Linked DNA regions of Kluyveromyces lactis. The protein of the gene in region 3 purifies or fractionates together with the protein of the main gene of each other region. This does not show direct contact. Links are inferred from orthologs where the notes say so. Each region holds a gene or a part of one and is shown on either strand. Other genes may lie near its edges.

Region 1 (4,377 bases), on a different chromosome or scaffold from region 3:
CTTCTCAAAAGTCCGCTTTATTTATATCAAACAAGAAAGACTGAAGTGGGACAAGACAAGGAGTACATTGGCTATCCCCTTCGTGCACAACTTTATCTAATGGATAAAGAAGTAGAATGATAAATCAATATAAATTAGAAACGACATATTTTAGAAATTACAAAGTCCAATGTTTAATGTTATTTCGTTTTAAGATCTCTTTTGTTATTCAATCAACAGTTATGACTTCTTCAACGGTTTCGTAGTCATATAGAGAAGAATTTGTGGTGTTTGCAGGTGGAACAGCTGCTTTCGTTTTTTTGTTGCTACTCTTCAGGGCATTTTCGACTGCACTGGCAGCTTCTGCTTGCCTTCTCAACTTTTCTTCGTGTTCAGCTTCCAGTCTCTTGTCTTCGGGATTACCTCGTTGTTGTGCTTCAATAGCCTTTTCACCTTGTAGACGAGTTCTTTCACGTTCTACTTGTTCACGTCTCTGTTGTTCTTCTTCAAGTTGTTTGGCCGCAGCTTCACGTTGCAACTGTGCCTCCTTCAGCGCCTCGTCGTGAGTTTGCTTCAGGTTAGCCAGCTCTTCTTCGTGCTTCAAACGAGCTTCTTCAGCTTGCTTTTCGTACTCGGTACGTTGCTTTTCTAAACGCTCCTTTTCTAAACGCTCACGTTCCTCTTTTTCTTTTAGCAATTGTTCTTCATGTTGTTTACGCTCTTCCTCCAATCTCCTAGTAACACTAGAAAACTCGACCTTTTGGTTGGCAATTTCTTGTTGAATTAAACCTAACGAAGCAAGTAGTGAAGAAATTTCGGTATTAATTTCATTGACCTTAGGTAAGTACTCCTTGTTGTCGATACTTTCGATCTTGGAGACGTTTTGTTGGTGAAGTTCTTGAGCTTCTTTAATTTCTTGTTCCAATCTGGCCTTCTCTTCTTCCAAAGCTTGAATTTCAGCATTAGTTTCATCCTTCTTAGCCAAGGATTCATTCAATGCAGATGTCTTATTATCCAATTCTGCTGTCAACTCTTCGACCTTCGATTCGTGTTCCTGGTTTTCCTTGGCAACTTCATCTTTCAACAACAACAATTCATCAATTTCAGATTGGACAGTTTGGTGAGCAACTTCTTTGTCCTCTTTATCTGAGATGGTTTGGTTCTTGATTTCTTCAGTTTGCTTGTACAGATCACCCTTGGCGTTAATGTGCTTGACGTTAGTTTCTAGTAATGCTTGAGATTTCTCAACTTGCTTCAACTTCAACTTTTCCTCATGTTCCAATCTAACCTGTTCCATTTGCGCGTCCAATTCAGCAATTTCAGCTTGAATTGATTGGATCTTTTCCTCGTACTCTTGGGCTTTAGTTTCATACCTTTCATCTTGTTCCTTGGAGTACAGGGCCAACTTGGCTTGGTGCTGGTCCTCGTCGTATTGCAACTTATCGTAAACAGACTTCGAGACGTAGCCTTCTTGTGTTCTGACAATTAACTCTGGATCTTCAGGGGTGGCCACTGGCGCATCATCGCCTGGAACAACGGTGCCAGCAGCGGCATTTGCAGCAACTTTGGTCGAGGACTCTGGTTTCTTCGAACGTTTGAAAAGGGCAAATAAGCCTGAAGCTGCAATTCCAGAAGTAGCTGCAGCAGTACCGGCCTTATTGGCGCCACTGGGTGTGAATGGAACACGAGGGGCAGAATTGATATCTGGTGGAGGAGAAATAGCTTCTGGGTTCTCAGTTGCGATAGCTTCGGCCTCTTGGAATGCCTCAACAGCTTCTTCCGGGGAAGGTTCGGCTTCAGGATCCACTGGAGGCTCCTCATTGTCCTGGACAATCGCCTCGGCTTCTTCGAACGCTCTCACAGCGGCCTCAGGTTTTGGTTCGCGTTTAGGATCGACCGGTTCCTCCTCGTCATCCTGGACAATAGCCTCGGCTTCTTCGAAGGCTCTTACAGCCGATTCTGGTCTAGCCTCACGAGATGGATCGACGTATTCATTAGCATCATCTTCCGGGGCCTTGTAAACACCGGTTGGATTTTCTTGTTCTTCTTCTTCAGCCAACGGGACTCTTGGAGGAACTTGGCCCTGCGCAATGGCTTCTGCTTCTTCAAGAGCTTCAACAGCAACTGCTGCTGATGGCTCGGCTTCAGGATCCACTGGAGGCTCCTCGTCGTCCTGAACAATTGCCTCAGCTTCTTCAAAAGCCCTCAGCGCGGCCTCAGGCTTTGGCTCGCGTTTCGGATCAACTGGTTCCTCTTCATCGTCTTCAGCCATAGCCTCGGCTTCTTCTAGAGCTTCAGCTACATCTTCAATGGGAGGTTCCTTACTAGGGTCCACCTCATCCAGTTCGTCCAAGTTATCCGACGCTTCAATTGCTTCCTGTGGCTTGGTTAAATCCACAATCTTTTGAGACTTTCTCCAATAACGTAACTGTTTCTCCTTCTTTTCCAACGCAGTCAATCTAACCTTCTGCTCAGCCTCGGTATCCTTCAACCCAGAAGGAATAATAATATCCTTGGCCTTCTTCACTGACTTGTCGGTAACAACGCTGTACCCCATCTGTTCCGGGTCAAGTTGTACCGCACCTTGGCTCAGAGTAGGGAACTTCTCCTGTCTCACTTGACGCGCACGTTGAGTTTCTTCCGCCGTACGGAAGGGAGAATGGTACTCATTATCATCTAGTTCTTCCTGGTGCTGCTGTTGTTTCGTGGTAACTCGCTTCAAAATACTGTTACTGTTGGTAAGATCATGCTGTTGTTGCTGTTCGGCGGCATGGTCCGCGTCATCGAGCAACCCTGCAAAGGGGTCAATTTCGTTCCGTTTCCTAAACAAGTTCAAACCGACCATTATTAACTGGAGTTCTATGGGATAGGATGCTGCTGTGTGCGTTCCAAACTAAATCAGGATCAGCGTCTAATCGCTGTCGTTGTTTATATGCAAAGAAACTTCCTTCCTTTATTTATATAAAGGAGGTATAATAAATGAAAAGGGAGGAAAAAAAGGGAGATCCGACAGGGTAACACGCGGCTAACTAAAGAAAGCCGGGTAACACCGATATCACATTGGAAATTTTGAAGGGACCTCATATTCTCGCATGTAAATCGCCAAGGTCATCCCATTTTGCTCTTAGAGCAAACAGCAATAGCAAGCGCAAAAAACGCACGGAGAACCACTCATTTTTTGTATGGCCTCGGCCCCCCCACACTGGACAACGGAAATAAGCAAACTAACAAAAAAAAAAGAAACAAAAAGAGGGACCCAGGGGACGGTTTTGTTTACATTACCCTGCCTCCCCTAAAACAAAAGACGTATGCTTTTCTCATCTTCGGCAGGAAACCTGAATGGTTCTGCCGTAGCGATGTCTAATACCGGGTAATGCATGTTCCCCTATTTCTTACTCGTCGCTGCACCGGCATCTGAGCGAATTCAAGGTTTTCCCTCTTTTTTTTTTCCATGTCATCACAGAAAGTTTTTTTTTTTTTTATTTGTTTTGCTGTTTTCAAGCCGAGAAGACATTGAGATACTGCGCCCGGGTCTGAGATTGCTGTCAATTGTTCGTTTGTTTTGGTTTGTTATGAAACTGGAAAACGCTGGAACAAACAAAAACCTTACCGCTAGAATTGCAGGTACTACGGAAGAGCAGAGACTGAAACTAAAAGCTATGAATGAGGCACTTCTTTATTTCTATTCGATACAGAGGGATATCCAGAGAGATATCCAGAGGTTCCAGTTTCAATTCTAGGTCTCTCTGGTTGCTTTCGGCAGAACAATTGGGTCTAGTAGAGACAGATGCAATTACGTTTTATTCTGAAAGAACTGAATGAAGAAGTATAAGCACGGAAAAAAAACAAAAAAAAAAACCATTTCTTGGTAATGAGAAGAGAAGAAACTGTTGTCTTTTGCATTTGTTATTGTTTTTGCCTCTTTCTGTTAAATGGTATTAGTTATACAGAGTTTTTTGAGTGCAGGTATATAAAGGGTAAAAGTTTAAGGAAGAAATATTTCAATCCGGAAATGATTACATATATTGTATGGTTCTATCCTTTAATAAATAAGGGAAACAAATTATAAATTTTTTCTGGTTCTTACTTTACTTCTTTCCTTCACTCTTTTACTTAATATATAAAATAATACTATTATTGTTTAATTAATAATACTTCTGTTATCAATTAAGGTTTAAGTCTTTACATCAATAAAAGATAAATTAAGTTCGAATTTGATTGCTTGCTTGATAAAAAGTTGGTAAAAGAAATCTCTCAAGCTGAAATTAAACCAAAACTCTAATATAAGAAAAAAAAATAGAAAATGCTTTCAATCTTAGACAATTCGCTTCGTGGTGTTAACTTTGTGTTTTTAATCATTGTTCTCGGTCTAGTCGGTAATTTGATTGCTACTCAGGA
Region 2 (2,863 bases), on a different chromosome or scaffold from region 3:
TCCTTCAATTTTTTCATGCTATGTAAATTGTTTTAACTTAACTTATTAAGACTTTAACTGACTGCTTCTTTTAAAATGAATATACTTATGTTTCTAAAAAGGATACTTGAATCAATTATCACGTTGTTCCGTATCTTATCCTTGCTAGCTCGAACTTTCCACTAAATCCAAAGACTTTTCGAGTGTTATTTCCTGTGATTTATTGGCCGTTTTTATTCATACCTAGAGAAGCCAGCAGGAAAATTCAAAACAGATTGATCGATATTACGACCGAATTCCAATGGCTGTTATTAACTCAGCACGATATTAGAAGTTAGTGTTACTTAAAAGAGATATAGAAATGTTTTATTACATAGAATATGAGAGTAGCAATGGTATAACGGACTTCACATACTACCGTTTTACCTGTCACACAGTAACATTGCGAGCTCTCTGGAAAAATTCATTTTTAAAAGTTAAAGAGGGCACGTACACGGCAGGAACGAGTATTTGATTCTACAATAAATCATTCCAATATACGCTAGCCACATACATTTTTAAAGAAGTGAGTGTAGCGGCATTGGTAAAATAAACTAACGCATGTGATCGCGAGAGCTTATTTAACTTCAGTAGTCTCAACAGCTTCTTCTTCTTGGCCACCTTCATGTTCACCAGCCCACTCTTCTTCAGCAGCTAAGGCTTCACCTTCCTCGCCATCTTCATCGACGTAAACATCATCGACTGTTTGGTGGAAGGACAAAGTTGGCTTGATAGCAGCGACATCCAAGGTCCAGGATTCCAAAGCTGATTCGGCATCCATGATGATTTGTCTTGAAGCTTCGTAACCATCGTAAGCGGCTCTAGCTTCTCCAGGAGTCACTGGAGAATCGTCCAATAGTTCTAGTAAGGCCTTACCGTAACCAGCGATTAATGCGAATTTCTCAGCTAATTCTCTCACAGAGTCGAATTGATAATTGAAAGCAGCCTTTAATCTTTCTCTGGTAATGTTAGACAATTGGGCTTCAGCAACCAACGATTCGGCTTCAGCACGAACCAATTCTTGCTCCAAAACTGGGATCTTGGTGGATTGAGGGTCCTTGTACTTCAAGTGAGCAATCTCATCAGTAATCTTTTGCTTACGGTCTCTTGATGGTTGCACAGAAGCTTCAATGTTTCTGATAGATTTCAAAGTAATTCTGTATTGGTCATACTTGTCAATGAATTGGTCTTGCAATTCAGCCAGTTCATAGATAAGAACGCCTAGCTTGTCAGTCACGTCAGACACGTCATCGTCATTTTCAGAACCCCATAGAGACAATTGTTTAGCAGCAACACGACGTTCACTAGCAACAACTTCTAAAGCTCTCAAGTAACCCTTTTCGGTCTTAATTAAAGAGGATAGCTTTCTAGATAACAATGGGCCGAACTGACCAGCAGTATTCTTTCTGATACTGGAGGCAAAAGAACCCTTACCAAAAAACTTAGACTTGGTAGTAGATTGTGGTGGAGCTGGAGTTTGGAGCTCTGAAGCTGTAGGAGCCTTCTTATTTCTCAAAGAGTAAGTTCTGTGCATTTTTGGAGACTAGTATCGGTATTTAATTTAACTTCTTGATATCGAATATTTTCTGTTTCCCCTATTTCTTAATCTAAAAGCAGCACTAGAAGAGTAAATTGGCCCAAAAAAAATTTCGATTCAACTAGATTAAACTATGTATCGAAGTTTACTTGATATACCTGCGTAAGACCCCTAAAATTAATCCGTCAGAAAACAAGACAGGTAGAAAGATAATCAATTACTTTATATAGAGGAAAGTTATATGTAGATAGCAAAAAAGGTTCTGTCCCAGGCCAAGAAACTCTGATTATTTTTTTACTGCCTATTGCCCTTTTCAGTTATTCCCAAATAAAAAAAAAAAATGCATAGAAAGAGAAAGAGAAACAGAACATGACCCACACTTACTTTCTCTAGGGACATTGACATGGCATGAGCCACGCAATTTTTCTCTTCTTTGCAAATTGCGGGCACGGTTCTCTATGTTGGTTTCTTCAGAAACTTTTGTTCGACTCTTCTTTTCGGCTTATCATTCGAGACTGGAAAGAATCGTATGTAGGTGGATGATATTATAGTACTTCCTGCTTCCGCTTTGTCTGGTGATGGTGGTGTTGGTTTATGATATAGCCGTAGCAAAAACAGGGCCAGGAAATGACGAACTAACAGTGTATTGCCGGCCTTATGTTGGCTCTTTAGAGTCTCTTATGAAGTTTTAGGGTAATGCTGAAGTACTCGTCCGGGTAACGGTATGCAGTTGATCTAGCTTGAACTTTGGTAATCCAACTGATTCGCTTGAACTTTTAAGCTCATCTCATGATAAATACGTCATTTGATTCCAATCAAGGCGGGCTCTCTTGCATTAGAACTAGTGTTAAAGATCAAGGACCAAGGGCGTTGGTACAGGTTATGGCTGATCAGATAAATGGTGGTTTGGATGACCGTTATGATCGACAGTTGATGATCTGGGGCCATTCAGGCCAGGATTTACTTTCTCAGTCTCATGTGTGCGTTGTAGACGATAATCAGACATTGTTGATGCGAGAATGTGTCAAGAGTTTGGCTCTCATGGGTATTCATGAGATTACTGTAGTTTTTGGCTCGTCTAATGGATCAGATTTTGTGAACAAGTCAAACTCGGATATTTTAGGTTTTGATGCGTTAGAAAGTATGAATCCAGATGTTACGTTCCATATTTGGAACGAGAATGCAGTTCCAATTGATTCACAACATAAGTTATGGAACTCTTTCTCTATTGTCATATGTTTGTGCACGGCTGGTCCGTTGTTACAACGTGTCATGAAACTCTCAGCAGTTCCTCTGATAATGGCATCC
Region 3 (4,097 bases):
CGTGTAGGTTCGTTAAGTGTCGTTGTCCCACCAAATCCCTTGGATCTCAAATCAACCATCGACTCTCAACTAAAGAAGATTGTAAGAGGTATATACTCTTCTCCACCGGGATATGGGTCTCGTGTAGCGAACTTGGTGCTAAGCAATCCAAAATTGAAGCAGCAATGGTTCGTAGACGTTAAGAATATGTCTGATAGACTATGGAACGTTAGAATTCAAATGCATGAGAGATTGAATTGGCCCAATCTTGTTGATTTTAAAACACAACATGGGATGTTTTATTACACAGGGTTAAACCCATATCAGGTTCAAATTCTGCAGGAGAGGTACGGTATTTATTTAACTGAAGACGGCAGGATGTCGTTATCTGGAGTTAACGACGGTAATATTGATTATTTATGCGATTCTTTGCGCCAAGTGGTTCAATAATCACATCAAGATGTTTCAATATCATCAAATTGACTTTAATTAATTTCACTTTATTTATTTATTTATTTATTACTACAAAGCTTCGGTTTGAATTGTACATTAGATAGTTTTTAGTGTTCTTAATCACAATTTTTGGGTAACTAGAATACAAAAGGGATTATAAATGCCCATTACATGTGTTTCGTGTTATATTAGTCGCTACTTTTCAGTGTTTCTTGTTACCGAAAAGCTTCTTTAGTTTACTGCTGAAGTTGTTCTTCTTTTTCTTCTCAGTAGTGTGAGTTGCGTTTATTTGAGGCTCTGGCTGAGGTCTCAAAGTAGCATGAGGATTGTATGGCGCGGGTGGAGGAGGTGCCGGTTCATATTCGCTTGAAACTTGAGTAGATCGACTCCCTTGGTTGCTGAACTGTAGGTTTGCGGATTCTTCGTCCGAATCAGAGTCGGCAAATCTTGATTTGAATCCATGAGCAATTGACGACGCTTTTGGTTTGTTATTGTTGGTATTGGAAGCAGGCAGTGGTACTGATCCGGAGACATACTGTACACCATTGTACGTTACTCCACTTTTAACAGGGGTTGAGTTTCTAGATTGTCTTTGTTGTGGATGTGGTTGGAATGGGGCTTGAGGCTGCTCGTACTGGTCAGTGAGTTGCGGATCCTCTCTCAACGATAAGTTTTTAAATCCAAGGTTGGTGGACATCGGTCTTTGCTTTTCGAAGCTTGAACGCTTTTGAGGAGGTTCCCTTGGGTAAAGTCCACTATTTTGTTGCGATTTGGCATTGTTGGACGGCTTCCCTACGACACTTCTAGGTCTAGCATCGCGAGGGGAAGCAACACCGGAATTATTCTGCATGAAAGAACGTCTATCACCATTAACTCTTTGAGCCATCATTGATTGCGGTCTTTGAGAATTTCTCTTAGGAGCTAGAGGCTGCTGGTTTTGCTGTTGCTGTCTTCGGTATTGATTTTGTGCTTGTTGTTTGCTGGCGGTTTCTCTCAAACTTTCGTGAGAAAGTTGCGCATTTAACCTAGTGTTTTCCTTTGTTGTTAAAGACAGATATGCGCTTGAAGCTTGAGATTGTTGTTGAAGTTGTTGGCTGTTGTGGTTTGTTTTCTTCATTGCGGATTTTATAGGTGAAGGAGTCTTTTCTAATGGAATCTTAGGGGTAACAAGAGCATCCTCCTCATTAACTCTCTGGAGTTCTGGATTAGCGGACCTGATATACTGAGCGAGGGTGCTTTTGCCTGTCTCCGGTTGGGACTCCGGTTGGGACTCCGGTTGAGATTCTGATTGACGTTCAGCAACGATAGGATCTTGAACTTCAATTTGATGTTCCTCTTCATCAACCACTTTTTCAACTATAGTTTCCTGGACACCATCGTTGCCAGGAAGAGCCTTTTCTTTTGAATCCGGAATATCTACTTTAGATGTGTTATGCTCTGCTTTTTTGAGAGATTCCTTGTCAGTTTCCTTCTCGGCATTAATCGTTTCATCTGGCAAAGAAGTAACTTCCTTCTGATGTGTAAGAATAACGTGTTCTTCTTCTACCACTTGCTTTGAATCAAGGTCGATCTTTTGTTCAACAGCTTCTTTGGTAACGCTTAGATCAGTATGAATTTTTGGCTGTTCTTCTTCTGTCGCTGAGTCTATCAAATCTTTAGTGATAGCTCTTTCAGGAGTCTGTGGTAATGCAGTACCGTTACCGAAGGATGGGGGTTTGAATTCTTCGACTGGAGCTGATGTTTCTTTGGCTGTAGTTGCATAGACAGTCTTTGTGATTCTAGGCACCGGTGATGGCGAAGACCTATAATGAGTAATATCCGCTTTTTTTTCTTCAACGGTAGGAACTTCTGTAAGTTTTTTCAATGGGGTTCCAGAAGGTGTTCTATGTCCAATTGAGTTTGCTCTTAAAGAGGCATGACTCCTTTTATTAGAAAGTGAGTTTCTTACAGTCATCCCACCACGTAAAGAAGTCGACCTTCTAAGACTGTTTCTCCTCTCAGCCTCGTACTGTTCCAAAGGAACTTCGACTTTGACCAACCCATGGCTGCTAGGAATGTATCTAGATACCATTTTAGGCTCATTATTGTCATTATCAACACGTACCAGACCACTGGGTCCTAGCACATATTTGGCCTCATTACCACCAAACTCATGGAAAACCTTGTCTGCATCGCTTTGAGCAACCCTGTTACCACTCTGTACGGAACGCATCGAGCCATACCTGGAAGAACGATCTCCAGTATCACTAGCATGTCTCACAGAGTTCCGACGAGAACTTGGTTTGGGACTGTTTACCATCGAGTAGGAACGGCCACTTATACTGTTATACCTGGGAATCTTACTCTTATCTACAACCTGGCCCCCAAACGAATCCTTAGAAGGTACCAGTGCCTTCCCAATGGTGTTTGCAGCAACCAAAGCACCAGGATCAATAGAACGCGATTCTCTTGACTTTCTAGAACGAAACATTTTTTTTATAAAAGCAACAGCAGCTTCTTTAATCCCTCTCTTGAACCAATTCCACTTAATATATACTTTCAGCTGACTGATACACGAATTACACCTGTTCTAGTGCCCTCTAACAAACAGTAATGGTATTTTACGTGCCTTTGCTTTCGTTATTTCTGTTGATGTTCGGCACTTAAAGTTCGATTTGAATGTTTTGCCCTTTTTTTTTTTCTGTTTTTATCTCAAGGTATCAATCATTCGAAAAGAAACCGAAATAAGACCAAATCGGACCTAAAGGTATGAAAACAAGAGACAAGAGGGTTACCATTGGTGTTACAATGTTAATAGTAGGTAGGAGGGGAACGGAATTGATCTGACGGGTTTGTTAATTATATATGTGGAGAATGTATCGGACAAACTAGAAAAATTAGATAAACTGTACGCAAAATGAGAAAAAGATAGAGCCTTTCTTACTCGACAGTCACGGATTTAGCCAAGTTTCTTGGGAAATCGACGTCGATACCGTTGTTGACTGCCAACCAATATGAGGTCAATTGTAATGGGATAATGTTCAATAGACCTTGTAGACAGTCGACAGTTTGTGGAACTTCCAAAGTAATCAAATTGTTGGCCTTGGCCTTGTTTTGCCAAACTTCATCGTTTTCGTTGCAGATAATGATTGGATGACCCTTTCTGGCTATCACTTGTTCGATTGAGGAAAGGACCTTTGGGAATAGGGAATCTCTGGTACCGAAAGCGATGATTGGTAAATCTTCGTCGACTAATGCTAGAACACCGTGTTTCAATTCACCAGCAAGCACACCTTCTGAATGCATGTAAGAGATTTCTTTGATCTTCAATGCACCTTCCAAGGCACTTGCGAATTGGTAACCTCTACCTAATAGAAGTAAAGATTTCTGATCCTTCAATTCTTTAGCACAAAGTTCTTTGATCCTTGGTTCCACGTTCAAGACTTCTTTGATTTGACCTGGAATCAATTTCAAACCTTGGATGATCTCGTTTCTTCTTTCGATCTTGGAGACTCTATCGTCTGATAGAGAAAGAGCCACCATTACTAATGCAATATATTGTGATGTATAAGCTTTTGTTGATGCAACACCGATTTCTGGACCAGCATTGATGTGGACACCGCAGTGAGTACTTCTAGAAATGGAAGAACCAACACTGTTCACGATACCCAAGGTCAATGCACCTC

What was found.
Region 1: the proteins of KLLA0_F13618g (region 3) and KLLA0_D16236g purify together in Saccharomyces cerevisiae (affinity purification with mass spectrometry; 3 studies listed by BioGRID). This does not show direct contact. The link is inferred for Kluyveromyces lactis from reciprocal best matches to the Saccharomyces cerevisiae genes SEG1 and YGR130C.
Region 2: the proteins of KLLA0_F13618g (region 3) and LSP1 purify together in Saccharomyces cerevisiae (affinity purification with mass spectrometry, with the first as the bait; 4 studies listed by BioGRID). This does not show direct contact. The link is inferred for Kluyveromyces lactis from reciprocal best matches to the Saccharomyces cerevisiae genes SEG1 and LSP1.

What each region holds. Positions count from the first base shown.
Region 1 is NC_006040.1:1,366,510-1,370,886, forward strand, and holds KLLA0_D16236g (uncharacterized protein), read right to left. Parts: upstream 2,825-4,377; coding exon 209-2,824; downstream 1-208. Other genes in the region: KLLA0_D16280g (MARVEL domain-containing protein), read left to right, coding at 4,283-4,377.
Region 2 is NC_006041.1:1,271,636-1,274,498, reverse strand, and holds LSP1 (lipid-binding protein LSP1), read right to left. Parts: upstream 1,553-2,863; coding exon 596-1,552; downstream 1-595. Other genes in the region: ULA1 (Ula1p), read left to right, coding at 2,345-2,863. UniProt on the Saccharomyces cerevisiae protein: Together with PIL1, main component of eisosomes, structures at the cell periphery underneath the plasma membrane that mark the site of endocytosis.
Region 3 is NC_006042.1:1,261,113-1,265,209, reverse strand, and holds KLLA0_F13618g (uncharacterized protein), read right to left. Parts: upstream 2,903-4,097; coding exon 635-2,902; downstream 1-634. Other genes in the region: aspartate transaminase AAT1, read left to right, coding at 1-429; glutamine--fructose-6-phosphate transaminase (isomerizing) GFA1, read right to left, coding at 3,352-4,097.